Struthio camelus: one gene and its partners. The protein of the gene in region 3 interacts with the protein of the main gene of each other region in a pairwise test. Links are inferred from orthologs where the notes say so. Each region holds a gene or a part of one and is shown on either strand. Other genes may lie near its edges.

Region 1 (6,117 bases), on a different chromosome or scaffold from region 3:
GCCGGACTGAACCCGCCGGCAAAGCTTAGAGTCCAGTAGGATTTGCACTCTATTTATGCCTTTTACTTTTGTAACAAAAATAAAGTTTCTCCTATTTACTGTACGCGAGCGATGTGGCTTCTGCTGTAGCAGGCCAGGGGCGTTGCTCCCTGCGGCTCGTGCCTGTGCATGCTCTCGCCGCGCGGGGTGGGGGAGCCGAGCCCCGGCGAAGCCGGAGAGGGTTTGCCTGCCTCTGCCTTTGGCTGTGTTGGCCACAAGGCCGGGAGCCAAGAACTCCCTAAACTCGGCTTTGGCGCTAACTGTGGCCTTAAGGCAACTCTCAGCCTTCCAGAGCTTTGCGCCCTCCTGCAAAGGGGAAAGGGCGCATGCCTCGCTCCGAGGACCGGGAGAAGGAGCATGGGCAGCGCCCGGAGTCCGCTGGGCACCCCAGCACCCCTCCGCTTTTGTCACAGCAGCCTTTGGCCAAACTCGCCCCCCTCTGAAGGGCTGGGAGGACTCGAGAACGGGCAGGTTCTCCGCAGCCCTGGGAGCAGCTGGGCTGTTGAACGTCCTCCCAGCGCCCCCGGGGATGGTCACAAGCGTCTCGCTCGCTGCGTGCAATGACGGAGCTGCTCGGGAGCCCAGCCCCAGCTTGCCTGGAGCATCGCGGGGCGCAGCAGGGAGGAGACGCGTAGTGGCCCTCGGTAGCGTTTCCTGGGGGTTGAGTCCTTCGCCGGCCCCTTGCTGGCGAGGTGCACGTTGCAGCACGCTCTCCCACGCTCGGAGGTGCTTTCCGGGGTGAACTCAGCGCGCTAATGCTAGAGCTGAGCTGGCCCTGCAGCCTTTGCCTGAGTGGCGCACATGGATCCGGGGCTCTTCCCTTCACCCAGCCTCTTATTTTTCATGAAACCGGTAGAGCAGAATGTTTTTGCAGCCTCTTAGCCAATTTCAACCCGCTCTGGCAGCCGTTCAGCTCCTGTTGGCAGGGGCTAACGAGACACCGGAGCTACTGCTGAGCCATTGGCTGCCTGGTACCAGCTAGCTGGGCCGGCGGGGGCCGGGGGTCGCTCTGAGCTGGCCCCTGCGGAGAGGTCCCACTCGGGGCAGAGCCGCCGTGGCTGCATAAATAGCCGAAACGCCAGTGCGGCTGGGAGCCGGGCTGCCGAAGGAGCAGCCCAAGTTTAAGGGCAGCACGCTGAAGCTGGGCTGGGTCCAGAGGCGAGCGCTGACCTTGGGAAAGCGCCGCGGCGTTGGGGAGGTGAGGCCGGGGCTGGCTCCCCCGGCACAGCTGGCTCCCGGCTTGGCACCCGGTTAGACGGGGCCGGGGTGGCCAGGGGGGGATGAACATGGACACTGCAGCTTTAGCGCTGCGAGGGATGTAATCTGCAGGCCTGGAGACGGAGCTGGAGCCTGCGCAGTCTAGATTCCCCCAGGAATCGCTGCCCCGCGTTTTTGCAATGGAAAGCTGCGGCTTTCAGCGTGTTTCGGCGAGGAGGGCTGCAGCGCTCGGCCGGCCGGCCCCCGCGCGGGAGCGCTTTGCGCTCGGCTGCGGACCAGCAGCGCTGGTCTCCAAGGGTTTCTAGGGGTCTCGCGCGTCTCCGGAGCGGGGCGGCTGCTGGCTGGCTCCGCACCGAGCCCCGCGGCTGCCTTCCCCTCCGCAGCTCGCCTCCGAGCGAGCAGGCCGGAAACGCGCTCGCTTAAAGCCAAATTGCCGCCTTCTTTCCGAAAGTGCCCTCGCATGCTTTAGGGCCGTGTAGTCTACTCCCACGGTGGATTACACTAATCTGGGGCGGGATCCTTAATTGCCTGCCGAGGCCCTGCACAGGGCGCTGCTTGGGGCTAGCCGAAAAAAGCAGCCGCGGGAAGGTGTCGGGGCCGCGGGAAGGTGTTGGGACCGCGAGAAGGTGCTGGGACCACGGGAGGATGTTGGGGCCACGGGAAAATGTCGGGGCTGTGGGAAGGTGTCGGGGATGCGGGAAGGCATCGAGGCTGCAGGAATGGGGTTGGGCTGCAGGAAGGTGCTGGGCTGCAGGAAGGTGTTGAGGCCGCAGGAAGGTGCTGGGACCATGGGAAGGTGTCGGGGCTGCAGGAAGGCGTCGGGGCTGTGGGAAGGTGCTGGGACCATGGGAAGGTGCTGGGGCTGCAGGAAGGTGTCGGTGCTGCGGGAAGGTGCTGGGGCTGCGGGAAGGTGCTGGGACCATGAGAAGGTGTCGGGGCCGCGGGAAGGTGCTGGGGCTGCAGGAAGGTGTCGGGGCCGTGGGAAGGTGCTGGGGCTGCAGGAAGGCGTCGAGGCCACGGGAAGGTGCTGGGGCTGCAGGAAGGTGTCGAGGCCACGGGAAGGTGCTGGGGCTGCAGGAAGGTGTCGAGGCCACGGGAAGGTGCTGGGGCTGCAGGAAGGTGTCGAGGCCACGGGAAGGTGCTGGGGCTGCAGGAAGGTGTCGAGGCCACGGGAAGGTGCTGGGGCTGCAGGAAGGTGTCGGAGCTGCGGGAAGGTGTTGGGGCTGCGGGAAGGTGTCGGAGCTGCGGGAAGGTGTTGGGGCTGCGGGAAGGTGTCGGAGCTGCGGGAAGGTGTTGGGGCTGCGGGAAGGTGCTGGGCTGCGGGAAGGTGTTGGGGCTGCGGGAAGGCGTCGGGGCTGCAGGAAGGTGTCGGGGCTGCGGGAAGGTGTCGGAGCTACGGGAAGGTGCTGGGGCTGCAGGAAGGTGTCGGAGCTACGGGAAGGTGCTGGGGCTGCAGGAAGGTGCTGGGGCTGCGGGAAGGTGTCGGGGCTGCGGGAAGGTGTCGGGGCTGCAGGAAGGTGCTGGGGCTGCGGGAAGGTGTCGGAGCTGCGGGAAGGTGCTGGGGCTGCGGGAAGGTGTCGGAGCTGCGGGAAGGTGTCGGAGCTGCAGGAAGGTGTCGGAGCTGCGGGAAGGTGTTGGGGCTGCGGGAAGGCGTCGGGGCTGCAGGAAGGTGTCGGGGCTGCGGGAAGGTGTCGGAGCTACGGGAAGGTGCTGGGGCTGCAGGAAGGTGCTGGGGCTGCGGGAAGGTGTCGGGGCTGCGGGAAGGTGTCGGGGCTGCGGGAAGGTGTCGGGGCTGCAGGAAGGTGTCGGGGCTGCGGGAAGGTGCTGGGACCCCTCCGGCAGGCAGGAACCCAGCAAGGCCAAACCGCCTTCTCCAGGCACCCAGAGACTTATCCAGGCGGAGAGCTCCCGAATGCCGTTGCCCCAGCGGGAAAGGCGGCGGTGGGAAGGGAGCCGGCGATGCCGCCGCCGCAGGGATGCGCTGCACGTGCCCAGCCGGCCGGGGCGGCGCCGGGGGGTGTTTGCAGCCATGAGTAAAGCGGCGGGTGACGCTGATAAAACAGTTGGCCTCGGCCGGGCGCCGCCACCCTGCCCTTCCCGCACGGCTGCCGCACGCGCGGCGGGCAGCCCGGGGGGTGCAGCCGGCTTGGCCGCGCTGCCTCCCGGCGCAGTCAGCGCCCTGCGTGTGGGAACAGGCTTAATCAGCTCCAGAGCGAAACTGCAGCGTAACATGAAGCGCAGATCCTAATCTGGCCGGCGCGTTTCCAAGGGCAGCCAACACCTGGAGCGAGCCGGCGGGTTTTTTTTTTTTTTTTTTCCTAAAGTTAAAAAAAAAAGAATCATTTCCATCGCGTTTGGAAGAGATCGGCAAAGTCCGCGGCGAGCCGTTCGGCCGGCGGCGCCGCGGGGGGAATCGCAGCGAGGGGGGTGGAGGGGCCCCCGCTGGCCGGCCGGGAGCGGGCGAGAGGCCGAGCCGGGGGCGCCGGGCACCTCGCTCTGGGGGCCCGCCGAAGCCCCAAAACGCCCAGAGTCGTCCCCAAAAGTGCAGCCTCCCGTCGCTCTTCCTCGACCGTCCTGTTTCGAGTTATGGGGTGTTTTTTCGGTTGGGTCCGTCTGGCTGCTGGCAGCCGGCAGCCTGGTAGTTCAACGAAACGAGCTGATTTCACCTTAATTTGGGGGCGGCGGCGGGGGGGGGGGGGTGAGATGGGAGCCGGGAGCGCCGGCCGGGGCTCAGGCAAGCGGCTCAGCCCCGGCTCCGTTTCCCACCTGCCCGGCGAGCCGCGGCGATTCCCAGCCACCGGCGAAAACCGGCACTGATTCGTTGATAGGCTTTTGGGGTGGGCGGCGGGGGAGGAAGCCCCCCCCAACCCCTTTTCCACCCTCTCTGCCCCCCCGGCCCGTTTCCCGCGCCGGCCGGGCGGCGGGAGCCGAGCGCGCCCTGCAGCTCCTGCTGCCGCCCGGCAGCGCCCGGGTGCACCGTTCTGGGGCTTTTTCAAATTTAATTTAAAATTTTTTTTTAATTTGGTCCGCCGCCAGCGGTGGGCCCAGGGCCGGGCCGCCCCGGGGCGAGGGCCGGGCGCGGGGCCGCCCCGCTCGCCCCCCCCCCTTCCCCGGCGCCCCCTTTTTTGCCCGGCGGGGCGATGAATCACGGCAATTTTGCCTCGCAAGGGGCGGCGCGGCGGGGACGGGGACGGGGACGCGGGGAAGGAGGCTGCGCGCGGCCTCCTGGCTCCTCCCGCTCTTGCTCCAGGCTCCGACGCCCGGCCAAAAGCGAATCCCGGCGGCGGCGCTCGGCAGAGGCTCCGACGGCTCCCCAAGGCGACCGGCCCGCTCCTCGCCGCTCCGTCTCCCCCCGCGCCGCCGCTCGCCCGTCCACCCGCGTCCCCCCTTCCCCGCCGCCAGCCATGGCAAGAAACCACCAAGTGCAGAAAGCCAAGCTGGCCGAGCAGGCCGAGCGCTACGAGGACATGGCGGACTTCATGAAGGCCGTGGTGGAGCACGGGGACGAGCTGTCCAACGAGGAGCGCAACCTGCTCTCCGTGGCCTACAAGAACGTGGTGGGGTGCCAGCGCTCCGCCTGGAGGGTCATCTCCAGCATCGAGCACAAAACCGAGGAGGGCGACGACAAAGCGCAGCTGGTGAACGAGTACCGTGAGAAGGTGGAAAAGGAGCTGAAGAGCGTCTGCAACGTCGTCCTGGGCCTGCTGGACAAGTATCTCATCAAGAAGGCCAGCGACGCGGAGAGCAAGGTCTTCTACCTGAAGATGAAGGGAGACTACTTCCGCTACCTGGCCGAGGTGGCCACCGGGGATGACCGCAAGGAGACGATAGACAGTGCCCAGAAAGCCTACCAAGAGGCCATGGACATCAGCAAAAAGGAGATGCAGCCCACGAACCCCATCCGCCTGGGGCTGGCCCTCAACTTCTCCGTCTTCCACTACGAGATCGCCAACGCCCCCGAGCAGGCCATCTCGCTGGCCAAGACCACCTTCGACGAGGCCATGGGGGACCTGCACACGCTCAGCGAAGACTCCTACAAGGACAGCACCCTCATCATGCAGCTGCTCAGGGACAACCTCACGTTATGGACAGCCGAGTGCGCCGGCGAAGACGGCGGCGAGGCCGGCGAAGAGCCCAAGAACTGAGCGACCGCCCCGGGGAGCCGCCGCCGGCTCCCACCTCCTCCCTCCCCACCTTGTTCTCTGTTCTTCCGTCTTCTGCCTCTTTTTTTTTTTTTTTTTTTTTTTGGGGGGGGGTAAGGCATCTCGGCTCCCCGTCCCTCCTCCCCGGCAGCCCCCCCCCCCCCAAAACCGCCTCCCGCATCCCCCCGGCACCGCGTCCCGGGGCGGAGGGGGGAACAAGCGGCAGAGCGGGGCGGGATGCCCACGGGCTCCCGGCGGCTCCGGGGAGCGGGGGGGCGCGGGGCGGCCCTGTCCTTCGCTTGCTGGCGTGCCTTGCTCTGCGGCTTCCCCTTCGCAGCGGGAGGAGGTGACGGGCCGTGGGGGGGGGGGGGGGGCGAGGGGGGGGGCCGAAGCCTCGGTGCATCCCCAATAAAACTTCACCTGCACGCCTGCCTCTGTGCTCTGCGTCGTCGCTGCCCCCCGCCGGGCCCCGGGGCGAGGAGGAGGAGGAGGAGGAGGAGGAAGGACAAGTTGGAGCGGGGCAGGTTCCCACGCAGCCGGCACCCGGGGAAGTAAAGGGGCATCCCGGAGTGGGACGGCGGTGACGGGGGGGGGGGGACACCAGTGGTGGTGACCCCAGAGTGGGCTGCAGTGATTCATGCCCCAACCCCACTGCAGCCTTCCCGCACGGCCCAGGCAGCGTTTCCCAGCGCCTCCTTCCCCCCCCCCGCCTTTATTT
Region 2 (7,842 bases), on a different chromosome or scaffold from region 3:
CTTTGAGTTCACGTAGAGTGAAATTTGGCCATTTAAAGCATAGCACAACTAGGCATTGCCAAGGAGAGTGCACAAGATGCATTTTTTCTTTTGAAACTGCAAATTTTAAAAGTCAGGCATAGAATATATCATCTGTTCTCCAGATACAGAAGGAAAAAGTTAACTTACACCTCTCTAAGAGTTGCTGTACCATATTAGAAGCACACTGCATTTTCTGTTGCAAACTTCAGTAAACTAACAGCTATGTGTTGAAGTCGCATAACAGACACCCAGGTGCCTTTGTTCTTCACCATGAAGATACAGTTTGCATTCTTAAAAGCCTCTGTGCTGCACGTAGGTGCAAATTTTAAGAGCTTGATTTTAGTAAATCAGTCCTACTCCTCGTAGTCAACTGTTCCATCTGAAATCCCCAAATCAAAACAAGATTTGGATGATATGCCCATGGTGTTAAACAGCCATCATTCATCAACGCTCCTCCACATTCTCTACCGACAGCGTTACTATAATTGGGAAAGAAAGATTAAAACAGTACCAAGATGCTTCTCTTCCACTTTTTCATGACTCCCCTAACAAAATGATTCGGAGAACTCTCAATGCAAAGTAATCCTATTCTTTCCAATAGCAGAAGGCATTGGTAGTGTAAGATACATAAGTCAGTCTGTTGAAGTTCACTTAAGTGTAGAAGTAAGCCCTTATTTTACTGAGCTATTCCTCACTCTGTGTTCAGATAACCCACTGTTTTGTTGATATTAAAGTGAAAAACAGCAAGATGTAAACGAGCAGCCATAAGAGAATTCTTTCTCAAAGGTCAGCATACCGCAGCAAAATATGACCTTACAGGAGGAGGGATGGCTGTTCCCATCCTTAGAGAACGCCAGGAGTATTCCATTTTCAGGAACAAAATGCCAGAAAAGCCCATTGTCAAGGGAAAAGCTTCCAGCATATACAAAGACTGTCAAAAGTTCGGCCAAAACCCTCCCCGAATTTTAGATTTCAAAGACGGACAGGGACTACAGGCTTGTTTGGAGGTGGCTTTTATATGCTTAACACTGTAGATTTCCTCACAAACATACTCTTCAGTTTTTAAATGTGCACTGATTAAGTTGTGAAAAGCGTAGAGACACCTTGATAAGCATTCTTGCTACTCTGTGCAGAGACGTCAGTACTGCGTACTTTCAGCACGATGAAGAGCATCTTTCAAACTCCAGGAGCGTAGCATAAAGAACACTTCAAAGACATTCCCTTAAGTCGTCATCTTTGCGTTTTAACTTGCCCTTCAGTTCGTTTTTCTCCTTTCCCTTTTGGCAAGGCTATTAGTCACTTCCGTCTAGGCTTGTAAGGAGATAATCCTCAGAAAAAGACTGAATGTTGATAGAAAATTAATTAACTAACCCTCAAAAGGGACGAACTTCTAGAATGGAATACTGCCTCTTACAAGCGCAAATGGTGATTATTTCACTCACTTTATTATTAAAATGAATTAAAGGAGCGTAAATAAGGCAAGTAGTCACTATGCATTACACTGAAGTCTGTTCGTAGGTCTTCTTTCTACTCAATAAATAACTGACATAGTAAACATCGCTAAATCACACCTTCAGATTTTCAGCTCTTCCCTTCAGCAGCAAACTATTGTTGCAGAATCTTATTTAAATCAATTGGTGTATAAACCATAGCCAGGGAAACATCAGTTTTGAGCAAAGAGCACCTAAACAGAGCTTCCAAAGTTAGCTACGTTACAGTCAAAACATACAATTAGAGACCTATTCCCGTCTCGGGAAGTTTCCGCTGTTGTTTGATCTCAGTGTGAGAACTGCTCAACCGGAGCGAGCTTTAAAAAGTATCTTTCTTTATGGTTGAGAGTACAATAGCGCCCACCAACCCCAAGAATCAGCCTGAACTTCAGCGCAAGAGCCAAAAGCGTAGGTCTGGAGCAGGTCTGAAGGAAGCCACGCCAGGGCTCCGAGCTGGCCACTCCAACTTACCTCAGGATTTAAAAAAAATAATAATAATACAGAGGAAAAAAGAGGTAGAACTAAGTAAATACCAGTTCTAAAGAGGGCTAAGCCCAGCTGCGGGTCTGGCACCCGGCGTCCGTGGCAGACTCGCAGCCCGAGCGGACCTGCCGCCTGCCTGCGACCTTCCTCCCGCCGCGGCGGAGCGGCACGCCGCCCGGGCGCTCGGACGCGAAATGGCGCTTTTCTTAGGATTTCCCACCACCCCCCCCCCCACCCCGTCCTCAAGAGGATTTTTGGTAGGAGACGGGCAAGTAAGCGAGGGCAGCGGCGGTCAGCAGGTGCCGCGGCGCGCCCCTCGGCCCGGCCCGGTGCAGCCCCGCCGGCCGCGCCCGCCGCCGAGGGAGGACGGGCGGGCGGGAAGGGGGCGGCCGCGCTCCCGCCCCGTCGAACAAAGACGGCCGCGGGCTTCACCGCTGCCGGGGCGCCGGGGGACGCCGCGCTCCCGCCGGCCGCGAGGCGGCTCGAGCTCCGCTCCCGCCGCCGCCCCTCGCCGGCGCCTTCGGCCCCTCACGCCCTTCCCGCCGCGCCCGCCCCTCGCCGGGGTCGGCGCCCGCCGCCGCCCTGCGCCTCGCCGCCGCCCGCCTCACCTTGCTGCAGGTCCTGCTGGTCGTACCAGGGCTCATCCTCGCGGATCTCGAACTCCTCCACCAGGCTGTCGGCCAGCATCGCGCCCCTTCCCCTGCCGGCGCCGCCGGAGGACGGCGATGGGGACGAGGCGGGGCAGGGCGGGGCGGCGGCGCTGGCGCTAACGAGCCCCCTCGCGCCCAGCGACAGCGGAGCGAGGCAGAGCGAGCCGGCAGCCGCGCCGCGCCGCTCCTTAAAAGCCGCCTCCGGCCATTGCCGAGCGTTTCCGGACTTTGCCGAACCGCTCCCCCTTCTGGCCGGGCTGCGCGGAGCCGCCGGCAGCAACGTGGCAGCTACGCCCGGCCGGCCGGCCGGCCGGCCGCCCACCGCCTCCCCGCGATTCAAACGGAACGGCCTGACCTCCCCCGCGGGCAGCCAATGGGGAGCCGCTCGCCGGGCGGATCGAAAGGAGCGTGGGCCAATCATCAGGCGAATACGGATCGAACCGCCAGTGAGAATGGGGAGGAGGTGGGCCTAAGTTGATGATGCCCCGCCCCGGGAGCGGGCTACGCAGCCTCCCGTCGGAGGAGGTCGGTTAGACCCTGTGGAAGGGGCGGCGGCGGCGCCGCCGCCGCGGAGGGGGTTAACGGCGGGGGGAGCGCTCTGTGGCGTTCTCCGGGGTGGGGTCCCGGGAGGAGCGGGGCTGGCACGGCCGGGGGTGGGTCAGGCGGGGCGGGGCCGGGCGTAGGGGAGGTGCCGGTCGCCCCGCACGGGGGTCCCCGGGGCGCGCCGTGGGAAGCGCCCGCGATGCCCTTCTCCCCCCCCCCCCCAGTTGCAGCGGGTGTCCCGCCGGCAAACGGCCCTCCGCCCCGCGCCTCCTGCCCTTGCAAGGGGGAGGGAGCCGCCCAGCGGAAAGCCGCCCAGCGGAAAGTCCCGGTTTTCACAGAGAAACAGCCCCGGTTCCAGCCCGGCAGGTTTCCGAGCGCGGCGGCCAGGTGCAGCCCCGCGGCCTGTGAGGGCGGCGGCGCCCCTGCGGCTGCCGCAGCCTTCGGCTGGGGACGAGGAAAGCCCTGACTCTCCTTAGCTCTGCTTCAGCGCGGCTCGAGTCACGGAGGAGAGAGGAGGGAGGCGTTTGTGAGCAGCCCGTTGGCCGGGGCTGCGGGAGGGCGTCGCGGCGGGGCAGGGCGGCGGAGGCCCGCGGCCCTGCCCGCTCCCTCCTCCTGGCGCCGGGCGCTGGGTTTCTGTGAGAGATTCCCGAAATTGGTTCGCCCTCTCTGAGTCACAGAATGTCAGCGCTTTGCTCTTCAGCGTGTTCAACATAAAGGCTGGCTCTTGGGAAGAGGGAGGGGATGGTCGTGCGTGATCCCCCGGCTGTACAATTAAAAAGAGCACGTCTGTTGGGAGAGGAAGTGTGGCACCTCAACTTCTAATTGAGCCTGTTTCATAAACAAAGTACAGGACCAGATGTGCCAATTAGTGTAAATCGTTGTGTCAGGTCCTGTGCGTTGCAGTTAGTCATGGCACTCGAGGCCTGTTTGTCCCTTGTGAGAAGGATTTTGTGAAAGAAATACTACTTCACAATTTTCTGAAGCTGAGGAGACCTTTTTTTTATCTGTGTGTAGGAAGGAACTGAGTCAAATGTGATTGGAAGAAGGAAAAATTTGAAGTACTAGTTTGCAGGTAAAGCTAGCGCGAAGCACGTTTCTTCTTGGTGCTCGTGGAATTTGAGGGAGGCGAGGGGCCCACAATTCCTGTTGGGAAACCCGTGCTGTCTTGCACAAGGAAATACGTGCGAAATGCCTACTTTTCCAAGTGCCCTAGTATCTGCTACACCAATCTGCTACTTAAATACTACATTAAGTGTAGTTGTGAAGGCTTGAATACGCCCTTCATTTTAAAATGCGGCGCTTGTCAGTAGCACGCTTCTATAATGACGCTCACAATTTATAGTATTATACTTCTAAAATAAACATTTTAAATGGGGATCGTTTCAATAACCTTATTTTCCATTTTAGGTTTCTCGGTAATAGTTTATGAAACAGAACTTGTTACAAAAATGCAAAATTTCATCCCTTGGACATGGAAATACTGCTATAGCCATAGCTCCATGAAAAATAACTTTGAAAACATATATCACTGTCATTCTCAAGTATATACAAATTCAGTCATGTGCTTAAAAAAAAAAAAAAAGAAAAGGTTGGCCTTAGAGGGAAAAAAAAAAACTTTGATCAAGTTGTTTTTCAGCTTGATTTTTTTTCCTTACTTGTAAAGAGGAGTTATTTCCTCTTTGCTTATTGTTTCATAGTTGAGCATCTTAAATAGAGGTACAAAAATACACCCTCGTTTTACCGCTCTTAAAATACCTCACTTTCTGTGTTGGAGGGAATGGAAGAACTGCTGTTCCATATTCTGCCTTAGCCAGAATAGACAATTTTCCAGTCCCCTGCTTTGTCTGTTGCCTGGCCCTCACCTGGTGATGAAGAATTTACTGTTTTCCTCACAGCAGCCTGTCTTCAGCCACTTGGTGAACCACAGGCAGCAGGAAGGTTCGAAACAGCCGTGCTTTTCATTTCCTGTTTCTTTCATGATCATTTTATGAGGAGTTCAAGGAATTGCTAATAGATTTGTTTATCAAGCTGAACAATCAAATATTCAAACCGTGTATTTTGATGAATATTTGAAAAATAGCTTTTAGGATAAAATTGTTAGTATAGCGCACAAGAGTGAAGTGTGGACCATTGATGGGACACGGGCTGCAAAGTTCGGAGTTAGTGTCCTTAATTAAGGTTGAGATTTGAACCTGAAGTAATAGCCGAATTTATGGCAGACAGTTTCTTTTGAACAAATATACAGATGAATAAAGGCTCAGTTAAGGACAGAGTATCTAAGAGAAGTATTGGCGTGTTGGGATTAGAGAATCAAATCTGGTCAAGGACCATAAAGGTACTCATTGCTCTGCTTTAAAAGGTAGAGGTTCTCCAGAACCTCTAGCTATTTTCATTGGAGGGTTTATACTAAACATACTTCAGCTAAATGCTAGATATGTGGAAAAAGCCAACATGTTACAAAATTGTTGGCTGAAGATCTGTTTGCTATATTAAGGAACTATATATCCTTGGGCTGAATCTGTTATTTGGATATACTCCAAATCCTGTGTTACTCTATATGAGTTACTTTCTGGATTTTATTTACACAAGTTCTCTTCCAGTACGAAAATGTTTCTTAAAAGGTATTTTGATTGCTTTAAGTAAGTTTCATTAGTTTATTAGCTGAAAATATTGCTTCCATGACTTGGGCTCCTTTTTGTTAACTAGTAACATTAGAAAATAGGAAGACAAAGCTTTGAATTCATTTTAAAATAAATGTTCATCTAAGCGCATGCTGAATTTGACATTCATAACAATGGAATACACAGGAATATGAATTGAGTCACTTCATTCCTACCCAGTTCTTTGTAATTGTAGAACTACGTAGCTAGCAGGAAGGATGTAAAATGTACGCAGTTGCTTTGAACTCTACCTCAAGATTAGTGCTTGCAGTAGCAGACTTTTGTGTTGGGTCTGTGCACCAGTTGCTTTATGTGCTCTTGACATTTTGTCTACTTGTTCTTTTGTTTTTTAAGGACTGATTATATTGGGAAATGCCATGCTTAATTTTTACACCTGTTCAGTTTTGTGCTCAGTGTCTCGTACCTCAGTAAAATGTGTTGCGCGTTTAACAAAAAAGTGACTGAGGATGGGGAAATTCTCATCCAAGACACTAGTTTCGCTTCTCTGAAACAAGCAAATCTCCCATGTCTTTTTGCTTTGGAAAATGTTTCTACCAACGATTGTAATTCTTCTTTTGTAACTAGAGAAAGAAGAGACTTGCACAATTTGGAAATGAAGTTTGTTTGGGGAATTCATCCTAATGCACTGGCATATTCCATGACTACATTAGGTGCTGGAATGATGAACAGTATCTTTAATTTCTACTACGTTAAGCTTTTCCTAAACCAATACAAAATTTCAGAAGTAGCGTTTCATCAAGCACAGGTATTGTACAGCGGAATATTTTGATTTCTGTGTTGTGCTCTGTGTCTGTATTGGCATATCAAAGTTATTTTTATTAATGAATTCCTTTTGAGTTTATTGCAAATAGTTATACAAAAATTCCATGTTAAATTTAGTTAATGCATGAGCAATTGAAGGCATACTTAAAGTGCATTGTTTACAGTCTTTAAATTAAAAAATCTCTGGACTTTCATTGCTGGAAAGATTTTTACCTTTCATAACTTGAAGTAATGTTCTAAACTAATCTTGCACTTCAGCTTCATGGAGACCTTCGACTTCAGTGCTTTCCTATGGACTATTTAAGTACTTAAATACTGCCTTTTTTTCTGCAAGTTCCTACTCATGTGAGCAACTTGAGCACCTAAATGATCTCCTGAATATGATGGCCAACTCATGCTTTAAATTACTTGCTGTAAGAGCTTGTGAGATGAAAGCCCAGATACATAAGCTTTTGAGGGAGTGAGGTCTTGGAGACAGGGGTTTATCTCAACTGGAGTTGGGCACCTTCCTGCCTATTCGGTTTGTTTTTCAAAGCTACTCGTTTACTGTCAACATCTAAATACCTTTGGAAATGTGTTCCTGAGTCCATTTTGACCTGGCAAGCTTCCCTCTCTTTTTATTCTTTGAATAGAGATTTATTTTGCATAAATACAATGTTTATTACTTGTGTGTTTGCACAGCCTCTGCAGAAGAATGACACTAATGATAAATTCTGTTGTTTTTCATGCTTGTTGTCACAGGTGGTATTTATGATATGGAATGCCATTAATGATCCTCTTTTTGGGTATATTCAAGACAACTCCAAATTCGCATGCTGCTCAAGACGTCAGTTTTCAATTTTATATGGAGCTCCCTTGTATGCGTTAGCCTTTTTGCTTCCTTGGTTTCCTTGGAAACAGTATGAGGAAGGTGACTGGCTAAGCGGTCTTCACCTTATTGTTGCTTTATGTGCTTTTGATGGTTTGCTTACGTTTGTGCTTCTAGCACAATGCGCGCTCTTTGCAGAAATTTCCACAAGACATGAAAGTAGGCTTCAGCTTATTAAATATAACCAAGTAGCAACATTAATTGGATCAACAAGCATTCTCTTCTGTGGTCTAATATCAGACAACATGGAAAAGTTTGCCTGTTTTCAGGCTTTTACTGTTTTGGTTGCAGCGTTGGCAACAGCTTGTATGTGTTACACAGGCAAATATAGCACAAGTCAGTAT
Region 3 (7,905 bases):
CCTCCTACCCCACTTGTTTTTCCACTGGGTTCCTACACGGGTACAAAGCATGGCTTGGGGAATGCTGTTTGTGCAGAGATTTTAAAAAGCAAGACAAGTTTGTTTAAGGGATGCATGTCAAGCTAAAATGTTTGCTATTTGCAGCTGTCCCCTGTAAAACTGGTGGAAAGGGAACTGGGTATCACAAAACATACTAGTGCAGGCAGAGTGGCCTAAAACTGTTTTACTTTTTCAAATGTTTACACTGGCCATTTTTTAGCAGAGAAAAGATATAATGTCATCCGAGATGTATTTTCTGGTATTTATTTTGAATTAGTGCTCTTTCCAGGATATAAATGAAGGCTTGAACAAAAAAAAAAAGTTTAACACAGTTGAAGAATACACTTTAAAAATAGTTCTCTTAAACAGAGCCTATCTGAACCGTGCTTCTCAGTTCCCTCAACACAGTTTTCCAGATGAGACTGGCATCCTGCTACACATACACATAGTTTCTTTGTACATTAAAAAAAAAAAAGTCTAAAAGCACCTTTCCAAACCAAAAGGCAGCCCAAGAGCTTACTCGCAATATTTAGGTACTGGCAACAAGAGAAGTTTACAGGCTTTACATGCATGCCACAGAACAACTCAAGGTTTGGGGGATCTGGTTTTTGAGTGTTTCGTTTTGTTTTCCTGGCATGAAGGCGGTGGGAACGGGCTTGTTTAGAAACAAACGGTTCTAATGACAAGTAGGGAAAAAAAAGCTGTCTTGTTCATTTAGAAAGGTTCTCCTTTCTAGCTGAGATTCGCTTCTTTTTAAATCCTGCACAGTGATAGCTACCTGCCCCTCTCCCAAGTACCTGTCTTCTTTGGAAAGGGCTCAAATTTATGGGGAAAGAAGAAAAAGAAAGAAAGAAAGTACAGCAAAGTACAGCACACACAAACTAATGTGGTTGGAGGTTTTATTGACACTTGTTTGCAATGACCAGGATAGCTCTTACAGCTTTACCACTTGTGAATAATGCAGACTTTTAAAGACGAAAGTCAATAAAACATTTATGTGACATAAATACGTAAAGTATATTCAAAAGGGAGGTGGGTTTTTTCTTTTTTCTTTTTCTTTTCTTTTTTTTTTACCCCTTAACTAACACTAAGAATTGGCAAGAACTTGTTAAGCAGCAAGGACAGAACTACATAATTTATTGCCAAGTGCGATATCTAATAGTAACAAACAAAATGACAGATGAGAGAGATACCAGTACAAGGAGCCATGCTCACACCTCTGCATGAGTTCCAAACGGATAATTTAGGATTATCAAATCAGAGGTATGGATTTTTTTTTTTTTTTGTAATTTAAAGCAACAATGGTGTTTGAAATCAAAACCCCTAACAGATTTTGCTTGAGCTCTTCTCTCCGACCTTAGGGAACCTCTGCTTTAGAAACACTTCAAACATGAAAAAGAAATACAGGAAGGAGTAAGAAATGATGATTAGGAGAAGAAAAGTTGTTTGTGCTAACTTGCCATTGGGGAGGGAAGTTGTCAGAACAGATGATCCCACAGCACAGCAAACACCAACCTAGGACTCCCCTGTCCAACATCTCCAGTGAGAACGCTCCTGTAAGACCTTCCCAAATCCCAGCTGCGGTGTAAAGAAAATGGTCCAATTTACTGGAAGGAAGCAAAGGCACATCTATTTTAGAGTCCTTGACATGGTCATCAATATCTTTACCTGGCTGTAAAAAGGTTATCATGAAAGTAGAGCTCACAGTATGACCCGGGAAAAAAAAAGAAAGCTTTATTGCCTGTAAAATGAGTCACTAGACTAAGAGGAAAAATAGGACAAAGCAACTGAAAAAACAGGTATCACTACACATACTGTGGTTCAAGGCTGCAACACCTCAACTCTTCTGTACTTTGTGTAGCTGAAACTTAGCACCGGTTTGTTTGGGTTTTTTTGCACGACCGTCAACAGTCTTGCCTTTGGTAAAGAAAAGCGAGCCGCTTAAACATAGCAAGTATTGTGACTGCCATGCCAATATGCATCTTTAGAGCTGACTCCAAGCGTGTTTCTTACACATGCAGCTTTAATCAGAACTGAAACAATCACTAACTCGGAATGTTTCGCATAAATCTGATAAGCATTTTCTACAAGCACAAAACGTTTTAGTCTCTACAAGACATCTAGAAGACTGCTGCCTGGTAACTCATTCATAGTGCTTGAATACTAATTTGGCAGTTAGGGGAAGAAAGGAGAGGGGAGGTGTTATGATTTTATACATGAAATTAGTAGTAGTAGTAGCAATGAACAGGGGCAGAGAGATTATCATGACACTTTCTTTTCACTGCTATGGGAACTGCTTTGACTTAACCGAGCAGCTTCACGTTTCCGTGCTTACACCAAAAGAACACAAAGGCAATTCGGTTTACACTTCTTGGAAGACAATGCTGTTCAGCATTACCACTATTTATAGCATGAAACAGTTCAAGGTGCATGTTGTTGCAGACAACTGAACGGCTTGTTTTCATGGTAATTGATCTATACAGCACGGGATTATATAAACAGTTGTTCCTTGCTCATTCCCACTCCATTAGCATCTCCCATGATAAAAATGTACTTGTCAATACAGCAGCTGCTATCAAACAGCAAAAATGCTAGCAGCTGCAAGGTCTTTAACTTGAAACTCTAGGTGAGTTTTGTAAAGATGTTCAGAAAATACAGCTGCTGAAGCTTTTGCATGCAGCTGTATACAGCCAGAAGAACAGCATGCTAATCTGTTTCCATGCTATTCTTCTGCAGTTTAAAGAACATAAAGCCACTTTTCTCAATTTCACTAACTATAAATCCCGGCTTAAGCATATCTGCACTAGTCTTTTTGAATTTTCTTACTGAAAACAGAATCTGCATACCAAGTTTGCAAAAAGGACAGTCCACTTCCTGTAAATGTATTACTTCTACTTCATTGGGTTATTATTTCCCGAAAACGTATCCTTACCTTTCTGCATCCCTGCAGAGAAGATACAACTATGTTGTGCCATGGAAGCAAATGCAGCGTGCCCAAAATTAACCACCGCTCTCTTTTCAACACTGTAGGATTCTAACATATCGCTTTGAAGGGTGGCAAACAGATCGGCCTCAAACAGTCTAGTACCGGACCAATCCGTGAATGTCAGAAGAAGCATTTTGCTTTTTGAGACGGTGGAAAATTCATGCTTGCAGTTGGAAGCTGGAGCCCCGCTTGAGACCGAACGTTCTTGCAGCGATCACTGCTCAGGTCGGGAGCACCAGAAATACAGGCTGACTACCGGGAAGAGATCAAGGGGTGAGGTGGTCAAAGGTCCATGGCAAACCACATGCGTTGTACAGCACTATTTCATATGCGGTGCCGTCAGAAGTATGCCTCGTTCGGGGCAAAACTCACCTTCATGATTTTATCACCGATCACTGAGGCACAGCACACAAATGAAATGCAGGCAACTGTCTAGCACACAAATGAAATGTAGGCAACTGTCTTCAGAAGAGAGAAAAAAAATCCTTCTGCACTTATTTGTCACTTGAGGCTCACTGAGGAGCAGGGAGCTGCCTCTACCACCACTGCCACCTCCATACCAGGAACAGGGCAGGAAACACATCTCCTGCATACACAGGCAGCCTGACATCCTGCAACGGCCACTGCCACCCGCTACACCACATCACCCTGACTATGGTATCTGAGCAAACAAAGTCTGGGAACCTGCTATAAACAGGTAGAAATGAATCTGTCAAGCTGTTAAAATGAGACACTTATATGTGTGTTTAGCTGGCATCAGCCAGTACACTCCTCATAGGTTTTAAATCAATTAGATTTTCAGAGCTTCACTGGAGCAGGACCCAGCAGCTCCAATATAATTCTACAGTATAAGGAGTGTCCACTACACTAAGATTACTTATCATTTCTCCACTTTAAAATTTAATTACAACTTAAAGAAGAGAACTGAGGCTGGAGTTTAGTTAGCAGATATTCAGAGCTTGGGGCCCTGAAACTCACTTTTCATCCACAATTAGAAGCCGGAGGCAGGGGGAGGGGGGCAGCAGGCACGCAAAGGGGCAATGACACCCATACACTTTGTTTTCCCATTAGTGATTTGCAGTTTAATTTTGCTGGCTGTGCATTGCAAAATCCATGCTTACCTAAACACTGCCTGTTGAGCAATATGGAATATAGATCTGTTGCAACTGAAGCAGAGAGAACCAGTTGATGCAGTCAGAGGACTATCCCGTCTCTTTCGAAGTTCCCTCCTGCTCACTTTATTTCCACAGCCAAGATAACTCAATTCTGCTTTTCAAGACCTCAGAAGAGAAGCATACAAGGTACATACTGCAGAGCGGAGCAGACTGCAATAAATGCAACCACTGGATAGCAGGTTTTCAACACTGGTTGTAACAATTCATTTGTCTACATAGCAGGTTAGCTTTGTGGTCTTTATCACAAAGTGAACACCTGCAGTTAAGCATGGACATGGACGACTGTCCCCTGTAACAAGTTGCTGGGTCTTTGCGCAGCTCAGCTTTCCTGGCTACAGGGTTCCTCAGAGAAAAAGAGATGAAAAAAACATGAACATTGCAGCCTAGCAACCACATTGCAGGAAAGAGTCGTTCCAGAGAAAGGAAGTGAAATTGGCTAAGGCTGGAAGGCCATCCTACAGAGTTTAATTAAATCTCAGCATTCTACTAAAGCACTTGTGATTTCCCAAACTCCAAAAGAACAACCAGAGATACATTTCAAGAGCCTTTTAAGGAATTCACATAAAAGCAGCAGTAAACAAGCAAACGGAAAAGTTAATACTGAGCATTGTTAGAGAAGCCTCATCACTTGAAGTGGAGGCAGTAGCACAATACATTCACCTAACACAAAATTATTTTTGGAAGCTCTCTTGCAATGAATTCAAATATAAACACCTTGAAATATGAGTTTACTCCAAAATGAGCTGTAGAAAGCATGGTTAAATTCCAAGGCCATGCTCCATGGAACAGAACGCAGATCAGAGTTTTAACACCTAAGCCCACCTTCAAGAACATCAGATTTAAACCAAAGTTTCTTTGAACAGAAAAGCTAAGAATGCTGTATTGCAGAGATTGATCACTCAAATATCCACAAATCCAACACAAATTTCATCGATTTTAAATACAGTAACTGAAACTAAGGGCATTATATTTTTCAGGAAAATATGTTCACATCCCTGACATCTTTTGCAGTTCAAAAGATTTCATCCAAACTTTTGTTTTAAAACCTAGAGTGTCCCAACTGACAAGTCAGTATTAAAGCAGCTTGCCTACCTGAACAGAAGTATCTGCAGATCCAGTATTACACCCTCTACACCTGAAAGCCACCACCTTATTCATGTGTGCAGAAAGCTCTTCCACTTCTACATCTCCCAAGTTAATACAGGCTCTACAGATGTATTGCTGCAACCTCCACAGTTTGTGAGAAGTTATTTGCCACTTCATAGCCCAACTCTTAACACTGAGTTGCTGTGAGGCATTTTTTCATTTTACGTTTCAGAAGAGTAACTTCAATTCAATCTATCGCTCTGTCTTATAATAAGCAAAATATTTTCGTGCACAGGAGCCATTCTGATTAACCAGTGTTGTCCTCGCCAACATCACTTCAATCCTTCACCTCCGCTCTGACAAACGGGGCACAGAGACAAGATGCTTTGTTCTGCACAGGAGATACATACAGATATTTGCATATGCATATCCGTAAACATTTAGCAGTAGTAGTAACTCCCATTATATCGTGAAAACTCTATTAGGCACTGATACTGCTTCAGGTTGAACAGATCCTTGTATTCACTGGACAAACAGTTTGCACATACACCAACAAATCATTACATCCCATGCCTTTTTTCCTGCACCGCTCCAATGAGTTCCTGCAGGAAGCTTCCAATTGCTTAAGCAGGAGAGCTCGGCTGCAGAGGAGACAGCCCTGCATTCGTCTACCCTGTGTTCACGTTTGGAAGGCACTCTGTGCATCAATCAGAGCATTTTTTTTTTCCTCCTTAAATGATGAAAGGTTCATTTATTCAGAAACTGGTTCTCTAGCTTACCTGGGAAAGCTTCCCATTCACCACAGGCTAGAGGATTTTTCAAGACATGAATGTCTGTTTTATGAACATCTGCACTCCATGAATACTCAGAGTAAGAAATTTATAAATGCAAGGATTGTGCACACAGGCAATGCATCATATCTGTAAGGAAAAAACATTAGATGCAAGACAGTATAAAAGCCTAAACTAGCATTGGTCAGAGATCAAACTACCTCATCTTCTAATATTCACAGTAGAACATCCCCAGCTACTCTCTCCTTACAACATCTAAACTCATCTCTCTCCAGTACATTCTTCCAACATACATCAGACACACAGTCCAAAAATCATCATATTCCAAGTGTTCCACGGATATGCAAAACAGACTACAGCCCCATTTCATGCAGGTCCTTCTTATCCAGTGTGGAGCAACTAACTATAAGGCAACAAGATCTTTAAGTAGAAGACCTATAGCAGGTGAAGCTACATATCCTGAATAGCTATCTAGAACATAAAGCTGGCCCCAATTCCTTCTTCACTGAGACAAAATGTCCTGCAATGATAATTTCCCTAGCATTCCCCAAAACCTTGCAACAGTTGACTTACCTTCAAAGACCGGGTGAAACACTGGAAATGCTGGATTTTGGGGGAAAGTGATGGGGAAATGTAAGCATGCCAAAAAAGATTTATGTATCAGTCTAACAGGCCAGTGGATTCTTTCAGCTATCTCTTCTTTCCAGGGAAAGACCCCAACGATTTAGAAAACAGAAGCTGCCCCAGAATGAGATGTGAAACAGATCCTCTTGACTCTATGCCACGCTTAAGGTCACAGATAAAGCACACCTTTTCTAGCAGTGGCAGCAAGCTGGAAAATAAGCGTTACTATTTAAAATAAATAAATAAAAATTTTAAAAGAATTACTATAAAAAATCAGATATATAAGCAGCAGGGGAGATGCATGTATTTTACTCAGCAGGCTTCATCTGCTGTGAAATTTGAGGTTTCATTGCAAGCACACTACACACTGTTTGAAACCAGCACCAGCGAAGTTTACTCCTCTACCAGTAGACTTTGTTTACAAAGACATTTAGTATCCTTTGTGCCTCCTGCCAAAGGACAAGGGCCAGGCAGAAGCTATGCACGAGTTAGTGTGATTAATTCCCTAAGTCTGTGCTTCAGTGAATGAGTGGGAGCTAAACAGTTAATTTCACAACGTCAAAAGACAGCAGCAAATTTCATTTCTTCCTGAAGCAAGGAGACATCAGCCACACCCTCCTTTACGGAGCTGAAAAGGCTTGCAGATTTAAACTCACATTTCATTTGAAAACAGGCAAGGGCAACCCGGTCACAGTATAATAAACTAACAAAGTCTGCAAGCCAATTTCATTTGTATCAGCCTTAAACGAAGCCAGTTTCCAGTGGTTTTTGGTTTCTTACTGTTTCTCTGCCAAGATCAAATCAAAAGTTGCTACAAAGATGCTAAGAGCACCCAAAAAAAAAAAAAATTAACGAATATCTTTCTGAGATTCACCACCACTAACGTTGATGTGTTTCCATACCACAGCTCATAAATAAGTAAGCAAAGGACACATATGCAAGTCCAAATAATGTCATCACCGTTCAATTATGCATATAAGAAAGCTTCACCTATCTACAGGATACCTTTTAGCTGCTGCCTATTGACTTAGGCTTTCTGCTAAGGCTATACAGAAGAGGGTAAGAGACCACTAGCCAGAGCTAGAGACTGGCTGCTGCAAAAATTAATGCTCTCCTCTAAGCCTGAGTAGGCAGAACCTGACAGCTCTTAAGTACCCTCTACAAGAGGAAGGAGCTTTAAAAAATTGCCTCACTCAGATCAGCA

Evidence for each region.
Region 1: the proteins of HDAC4 (region 3) and SFN interact in binary tests that used the Homo sapiens proteins (3 or more experiments, as listed by UniProt). The link is inferred for Struthio camelus from reciprocal best matches to the Homo sapiens genes HDAC4 and SFN.
Region 2: the proteins of HDAC4 (region 3) and CDR2 interact in binary tests that used the Homo sapiens proteins (3 or more experiments, as listed by UniProt). The two-hybrid records come from large-scale screens. The link is inferred for Struthio camelus from reciprocal best matches to the Homo sapiens genes HDAC4 and CDR2.

Annotation. Positions count from the first base shown.
Region 1 is NC_090964.1:6,831,555-6,837,671, reverse strand, and holds SFN (14-3-3 protein sigma), read left to right. Parts: upstream 1-4,483; 5' UTR 4,484-4,661; coding exon 4,662-5,402; 3' UTR 5,403-5,491; downstream 5,492-6,117. UniProt on the Homo sapiens protein: Adapter protein implicated in the regulation of a large spectrum of both general and specialized signaling pathways. Binds to a large number of partners, usually by recognition of a phosphoserine or phosphothreonine motif.
Region 2 is NC_090956.1:9,339,094-9,346,935, reverse strand, and holds the start of CDR2 (cerebellar degeneration-related protein 2), read right to left. Parts: upstream 3,066-7,842; coding exon 2,603-3,065; intron 1-2,602. Other genes in the region: transmembrane protein 180-like, read left to right, coding at 6,461-6,613, 7,372-7,842.
Region 3 is NC_090947.1:2,715,117-2,723,021, forward strand, and holds the start of HDAC4 (histone deacetylase 4), read right to left. Parts: upstream 3,251-7,905; 5' UTR 3,159-3,250; coding exon 2,972-3,158; intron 1-2,971. UniProt on the Homo sapiens protein: Responsible for the deacetylation of lysine residues on the N-terminal part of the core histones (H2A, H2B, H3 and H4).